Linked DNA regions of Xenopus tropicalis. The protein of the gene in region 1 purifies or fractionates together with the protein of each later gene. This does not show direct contact. Links are inferred from orthologs where the notes say so. Each region holds a gene or a part of one and is shown on either strand. Other genes may lie near its edges.

Region 1 (4,297 bases):
TAGAAATCAGATATGACCCCAGTTTATCTCTTTGGTGAAGTACAAAAACCACAGTATTCTTCACAGCTTGCCTGTTATTTGCTATAAAAAATGTGCCCAATTGCCCTATTTCAATATCTATTAGAAAATAAGTCATAGATAATAAGTCAGTTAACCTGTATCCAATGTCCATAAATTCTGGATAATGTACTTTTTTTTTTTTTTTTTTTTGCATTATCTTTGCTCAGATGATTTTTAAAGTAGACAGGGCTGGTTGGTCACAAAATGTGAGAACAGTATGTTTGTGAATCTTATATTTTCAGGACACTGGACCCTGCGGCTTCTGAGGGAAAATAAAGTAAATTGTCACCCTAGAAGATGAAATATTACCTCTCCAGCACAAACCGAATGAAATACTATCGTATCTCTCTGATCCTTCTACCTGGTTAGTCAAGGACAACAAAGTCACCAGGCTGATATGGAATGTTATAGATACTGTTCCCAGCAACACTCCATATTGGTAACGATGACAAAAAACCTCTATAATGTATTTTATTAAGTCACAGTTACAGTACCTAGGAACTAGTAGGGAGCCAGAGTTCAAGGGGAAACTCAAATGACTTTTGGGAAATGCACCAAGGCTCTAGTAAAGCCCATGCATATGACGTGCATAAAGTAAGGACCACATAGACTTTAAAAAGGGAAGGGTTAGGCCATCTTGGAAGGGGGAGTGAGGATGAAGTAGGGTTGCTACAAGCTGTTTGGTAAAAATTGCTTTCAAGAAGGCAGCCCTAGAAAGAAGAAGAGAATGGGAGGAGACAAAAAGTGGCGAAAATATGGCCTGGAAACAAACAGTTCATAATGCACAACACACAAGGAAAATAATTGACCAGAGCACAGAAGAAATACAAGTAATTTTGAGTCCCTGATAGTTAAGTAATACTAAGGAAAGAGTTATTATTAGGAATTAAAGATAATTAGGGATCAGTGCCTGGAATACAAAGGGACTAAACCAGTAATATAGCAGAGACCACAAGGAATGATCAGTTATTCTAAAGAATATTCCCATCTCCCAAGGTTCATTGTTTCAGTAATACACTTAAAATAAATAAAAACTCTAAACATCCAACAGGAAGTCTTACAATAAATGGAATGGATAGTGTTTCATGCAATTTATCAGAACTTATTGATTGCCATCATAAACTTGTGGTTACTACATTACCCTCATACCTTAGGGATTCAAAAGACCAGTGAGGACTGATACTCTGTACAGAGGATTAGAACTGGGAAACAAGAGATGAGACATTGCTGGACACAAGTAATAACTAAAATATGTTGGCGCTTTATAAATAAATGTTAATAAATAAATAAAATGTATAAAAACATATTTCCTACATGGACACAATAGGGTGCCAAATAAGCAGCTTGAAGTACAATACAGTTTACATAAGACAGTAGTTGTTTTTTCTTTAAAGGTGTGTTTGTACACCAAAAATCTGGGGAACTGTGTTAGCCCAATATCTTTATTGAGGGCTAAAATCTCTTGTCAGGTGATTGCACTGTAGGTCTAAGGGGGGCTGTTATGGATATTTTAAAGCCACATTTTTGGGCTAAATGTGTAAAAAAGTGTGTGTAAAATCGTAAAAAGAAATGTGAAGTTAATTCACAATACAGATTTTGAGTACAGTCCAACTAATTTTAATGCAAATGGAATGTAAGTGTTTGGATTGGTGGAGAGGACTCCCATGCAGGAGACTACAGGACAAAGCTGTTCAGTATCCTTACATACTACAGGTATCGGGCCCCTTATCCGGAAACCCGTTATCCAGAAATCTCCAAATTACAGAAAGCCCGCCTCCCATAGACTCCATTTTAATCAAATAATTCAGAATTTTATTACTGATTTCCTTTTTCTCTGTAGTAACAAAACAGTATCTTGTAATTGATCCCAACTAAGATATAATTACCCCTTATTGGATGCAAACAATTAATGTTTTATTGATTTTTTTGGTAGACTTAAGGTATGGAGATCCAAATTATGGAAAGACCCCTTATCCGGAATACCCTTGGTCCCGAACAGGGGCCTTCTGCCTGCATGCAAATTAGGAAAGATTCAAACGTAATTAAAGATGGCCATGTGTTCCAAAGTGCCCATCTTTCATTTTTTTTCACTGGTGGTGCAGCTTCACTGATGTTGATCAGTAGAGATTAAGGGGATGTGCTGCTTCTGTCATCTACAAACAAAGTACAAAGACTGCCCTGTGCATTAACCAACCAGGGACGGAGTGGACAGAGGGCCAGTGCCAAGGGCTGTGCTGGATATAAATACAGAACTGACTATGCCATAATGTACCGAGTACTCTGAGTCTCCCCATCCCACTGCAGAAAATCTCAGGTTTGTGCCTCATGTTAGTGCCTAACTGTGCTTTAATGCAGCTTAACTGTTGCAAATTTGTTATAAAGCTTTACTGAACATAATAAAACACCACTTGATCACGAGTGCACAGATTCTTATAATATGCTTTTCATATTATTAAATGCATATTGTTTATAGCTATGATTTTTTGGTGTAGAATGACCCATGAGCAAACTGGGTTCTATTTTCCCTTTAATTGTTTTACAATGTTTTGCCAAATATGGGCTCATACGATACCTTTGCGCACATACAGCTCTGACTGAAAAAATCTATAAAACTAAGTGCTCTACTTGTAGAAACAGAATTCTATTAGGTCTTCCCTGAAACATTTGTTTCTACCAGTCACTTACCATACATTTTGCAGCGGTAATGAAGTTAAAGATGTGCGCCCAGAAACACGGAATGGCTACCTTGGCCCTATCTGTTAAGGTTTCCCATCAGGCAGGTACCAGTGGGAATTAATCTGCTCTGGCACGCAAACCCCCCACCCTCCCAACCTGCAGACAAAGCAGTCTCACATGCTCGCTAATTGCCCATTATAACATCAACACTGAACTGCTAATGACAACAGCTCTTCAGGGTGTTAAATGAGGGATACGAGAAAGTGATAAAACTGTTAAAGAATTAGGTAATAGAAAGATTGGCTTACATGGTCTCTAGTACATTGAATTACCTAACGTACATGTGATGTCAGCCAGATGCAGTCCCCTTGGTTTGGGCTGCCACGCTTCCTTGCATCAGATTCCCTGTAGTATTAGTATATTCTTTTGCCTGATTTTGCACTTACTAGTAGACACAGAGTTTTCTACTGAGGCAGCGTATTACAAAACTTCTGAGATTCCTTAGGGCTGTACAAGTACAACAACCAAATATTAACGGGTCCAGGTTTTTCTGGTGGGCCTCAGGAGTTTTTTGCATCAGAACCAGTATTTCTGGGCCCCTTTTGTAGTCTCATACCAACAGTGAACATGGGCAGAACCCTCTCTGTTACATGCAGTAACACACCAAATAACTACTTATTGCACCAAAGACCTGAAGTGTCAGGCATCATCCATTTTTCAAAATATTGCATATACAGTGTAGTGCTACAACAGGAGTGACAGCTTTAATAATAAAAGGTTCAGCCATACTGGAATAATGGCGTTCTATAGAGTTGAATTGGATTGAAGCCTCATGTAAAAGTAAAGGTGAAGTCATGCAGACCTAATAAGCCATAAATGAATGAAGTCTCAAAGGCTGATGCCTACCCCATGCCTAGGGTAGAGGAACCAAAGGTTAGGCCTGTTAGGTACATGTCAACTCTAGGGGGCAGATTTACCAAAACACGAATTTGAATCCCGAATGGGAGAAATTCACATTGGAAACGTAAATATTGTGACTTTTGTGACATTTGTGATATTGTGACACAACATTTCGTATTTTTCGCGACTTTTTCGTATGGAATGATAGTAAATGCCGGGAAAACCTTTCTGACTTTGCATGATTTTGGAAGCCTCCCATAGGACTCAATGGCACTCTGCAGCTTCAATCTGGCCCAAGGAAAGTCACCATACCGATGCTTGAATGAATCTGAATCTTTCGTACTCGGCGCAACAATATGATTTTTTTAGCGACGGCGATGAAAAAGTCATGAAAAATACGTGCAAGATGCGAAAAAGTCGTGATGGCGCTGAAAAAGTCACAAAAATACCGATCATTGCGAAAAAAATGCATTCAAAGCGTTTGTGGGTTAGTAAATGTGCCCCTAGGTCTTACTAAAGGTTATTGGCAGGTACCTTTAATGGCCAAAGGAAAAGATAGCTTTTTCTACTCCTGAGGGTGTTTTCCATGTGGATCTAACTACATTTTAAAGGTTTATAGACTGCATCCTAAAACTCCATACGCCATATGCCCCAGCTTTGG
Region 2 (3,866 bases), on another chromosome or scaffold:
ATGATCAGGAAAAAAAAAAAAAAAAAATACAGTAACAGGTGACAAATTGCCTGTCCGATGTACAGAATGTTTGAGATTAAGTAGAGCATTTCTGCACAACTTTATGGGAACACCTACAGAACTGATTCAGTGATCTCAGCACAGCAGGATACATAGGGTACAGTTCATATAGAAGGAGTATCATTGTAACATTTTGAAGAAGGAGCAACTATAAAACTTATGGACCATGGAAACAAAGTCCTAATTCAAGAAGGAATAAGGTGAATGATGAAAATTGGAAGTTAGTAAACTGGAAAAGCAGGCACAGTGTGCAGAATCTTTTGAAGGCTCAACTGAAATTACTTAATTACAGATGATTTCTTTTCATACCAACAATTCCAATACAGTTTGGGGGGGGGGGGGGGGATCATGCCCTAGACCACGGAAATCATCACCTCACCAGCAGAGAATGCGTTCCCTGGCCTTGATATAGGCAGTGTCAAAACAAGAAAGAGAATAAATGTAAACTTCATGTCACGTCTCCTTCATTTCTCAGGGTAAAAACAACTTTCTATGCATCGTCAATCAGTTTCTCCCCATTCTCTTCTTCATTTCTCTTCTCAGCCTTCTCCTCTTCCTCCTCATCTATTCCATCAGTAAAGGTATCTCCCTGACCATAGGCAAGAGTTGTTTTAGCCAAGTCCACCTCAATAGGGAAGATGTCGGCCTCCTTGAGTACTTCATAGCACTGGTCATTGTATTTGGACATTGCTGAAACAAATCGTTGCAGCTGGAACACAATATCGTGCACTGGAAAGAACAAAAGCATAGTGAGAGTTAATGGGGCAAATCTAGGAAATTCAGCTAGAACAGTGACACTACATGAATGTAATGTATATGCAATCAGCTGGCCAGGCTTAGGGATCTGGCAAACTTAATTTAAAAGTTATTCCCTTTTTCAACTAGAACCTTTAATACGATTTGCAATTTGTCCCTAGTCTATGGTAAGAGCTCATCATGATCCAAGAGAAAAAGGTGGACATTTCAATGTCTGAGCCAGAGAGTTTTTCATAGTACGGATCTAGCACAGATGAACTTTGTATGTGGCCAAACTAGTGGCAGGCAAAGGCTGTAGGTTTCCCATGACTGGTCTCTATACTACCATCTGGGAATTCCTATACACTCACCATGTTTTTGGTCAAGCAGTTCAATCTTCTCTAGGACATCTTTCCTCATCTTTGCAAAGCGCGCGCGTGCTTCCTGTCGGCACCGCAGAATGAGCCGATACTCATAGTTCCCGGTACCAACACGATATAGGGGTTCTCCCAAGGCCTGTAAAAAAACAGAAAAATACATTAAAGGGGAACTCTGGCTTCTGAACCAAAATTTGTTTGAGCCCCACACATTTCATTTCAAATCCTGGCGGGTAGGAGGGACTGTGATGTTCCTTTCCTTATTGACATCAAGTGTGCAGGGAATTGTGTGATTTGGATAAAGGGGAACAGAGGGCCGGGCTTAGGAAACTGTTCCAAACCATAGTATGACATTAAAAACAATGATGGTGCTGCATATTTTTTAATTGATTTATATTGCAAAGTTGCTTGAAATTGTATTTACTTTTCAAAAAGCTTAAGTTGTGTTTGGGTGGCATTCCCCTTCATTTTAGGAAGTTATGATAACTTTAGTTGTATTATAAAAAGCTCAGGATGGCACGTCAAGTGCGGAACAGTACACACAGCCTAAGGCTTTTGTCACCCCAGACAGGAAAACAAGTGTCTGGAAAGAAAATATAGGTAAGTTTAGGCAATACTCACAATGCTACTGTATTCTTCATCATCCATTTCCTTCACCTTCAAGCAGTATGACTAAAGAAAAAAACATTTTTATAAAACTTCAACATACACTACTGCTTCCTCCCTCACTATCCTCTGACAAACCCCAGGTCTGAACAAATAAACCAGCATGGAGCTTGCTTAAAAACAAAATTATCACTCATACACAAGGTTTGGTAGACTCTAACAGAATCAAGTCTAAAGCAACTGAACTTTGATTTTTTTTATTAAAACATTTCACCAAGCTTTGGTAGAATGTATATAAAAAAATAGCCATAGCAACATAATTGTATCGTTTATACAGGAGCAGTTGCCAGCTCCATGTTGAAACTACAGTCAGGTGATCCCAGCGGAGCCAATAAAAGGAGGAACCATTTGGGAGGTTTAACCTTGAAGGCAAGCAAGTTGCAGGTAAAACAGTCCCTGTGTAAAATGTATAATAAACAGTAGAATTCGTAATGAATTAGATGAAAGTGAGAATTTGCTATAATGGTAATATGTGTTCTCTGCCATGCAATGGACACTGATAAAGGAAGCTGTAACTGACCGCACAAACAAATCTGATACTCATATGTAGTATGTGCTTTCTGTCTGGTATTGTCCCATTAAGTATAAACAATTGGGAAGATACTCCAGCCAGTCAGTTGGCCACAAATCACAGTGTGTGCAGCAGGGATGTCCCACTTACCTGACTCACTGGGGCTCATTTATAAATACTGGGCAAATTTGCACCTAGGCAGTAACATACAGCAACCAATCAGTGATTTATATTTTTTAAATCAACAATGAAAGAAGACTTCAAATTGGTTGCCACAGGTAAATGCCCAGGTGCAAATATAAAGGACCCCCCACTGTAGTGTCACTGAGGAGTTCCGTGACCATATACAAGCATAAGGGTCAATAGCCAAGTGCTATGGAACTCCGAGGTGACTTCTAATATCCTCATATTTTACAAAAGAGGGTACATTATTTATTATAATACACAGGTTTCAGCAAGTCATGTGAATGAAATTACATATCTAAACACCTATTATAACAGCTGACATCACTAAGCACTTTGTATAAGGATATAATTTACAGGGAAATCATGGCACTCGGTTTATGTACTCACCAGATATTCAAATTTCACATCAAGGTATTTCCGGATGGTGAGCTTGGTGTCAGGAATTGCTTTATTAAGGTAAGTGTTTAAGTCACTCAGCATCTGTTGGGAGAGACAGAGAACTCAGGGCTGCTAGTAGAAAGTAATGCCCTCCTACACAGTCAGAAGCTTTGCATCATAGAGATTATTCCATAGTCTGACATTGTTAGCAATGCATCCTTTAGTATAACCCTGCCCAGAGCAGGATAACAATAGCATATGATTGGCCAATCACTACTCATACCGGTTTTATGGTCTTTAGAAGGCCAATTCCAAATTTTTCAATGCTGCGATGTGCGTCTGCAAACTTGACAAAAGCTTCACTTGCAGCCGGCTGTGGTTCCCGCACTCCGATGACTGAGAACACATCCCCGAAAGCTGCAGCAAAAAGATTTCAGATAATGTTACACGTGCACCGGTTATCACTAATGGTACAAAATGCAGAGCAAAGCAACAGGACAGAGGAGTATGTGAACACAAAGTCAGTCAAGGGGAACTTCACCTGTACATTAACTATCGATAAGTTTACATAGATCTATTCTAAGCAACTTTTCCCATGTCATGATGTTTATGGGGTGGTTTTTATTACTAAATTACACTGTGTACATTGCAATTTTTATAGCTGTTATACCAGTGTGCAAGCAGCCTTATCAGCAGATTGTGCACGATCCTGAGCTTTCAGTATGAACCAGCATTGCACAAAGACACTTATTTGAGAGCTACCATTTCTCCTATTCAATAATATCTGGATAAGTCCTGGGGTCCTGGTTCTGTTTCTTCTGCTTGTGTGCAACTCTCATATCTACCACTAGGTGGGGCTCGGAAGCATTTTTAGCAAGGCAAACAATTTCTGACTTTATTTTGATCTATACAATGCAGAAACCTTCTACAGAGTAAAGGCCCCCATACACGTG

Evidence for each region.
Region 2: the proteins of asic1 (region 1) and pick1 purify together in Homo sapiens (affinity purification with western blotting; 3 studies listed by BioGRID and IntAct, with this or other methods). This does not show direct contact. The link is inferred for Xenopus tropicalis from reciprocal best matches to the Homo sapiens genes ASIC1 and PICK1.

Annotation. Positions count from the first base shown.
Region 1 is NC_030678.2:148,611,759-148,616,055, reverse strand, and holds the start of asic1 (acid-sensing ion channel 1), read right to left. Parts: upstream 2,825-4,297; 5' UTR 2,746-2,824; intron 1-2,745. UniProt on the Homo sapiens protein: Forms voltage-independent, pH-gated trimeric sodium channels that act as postsynaptic excitatory receptors in the nervous system, playing a crucial role in regulating synaptic plasticity, learning, and memory.
Region 2 is NC_030680.2:128,871,693-128,875,558, reverse strand, and holds the end of pick1 (PRKCA-binding protein), read right to left. Parts: intron 3,331-3,866; coding exon 3,197-3,330; intron 3,016-3,196; coding exon 2,923-3,015; intron 1,845-2,922; coding exon 1,794-1,844; intron 1,312-1,793; coding exon 1,167-1,311; intron 790-1,166; coding exon 551-789; 3' UTR 503-550; downstream 1-502. UniProt on the Homo sapiens protein: Probable adapter protein that bind to and organize the subcellular localization of a variety of membrane proteins containing some PDZ recognition sequence.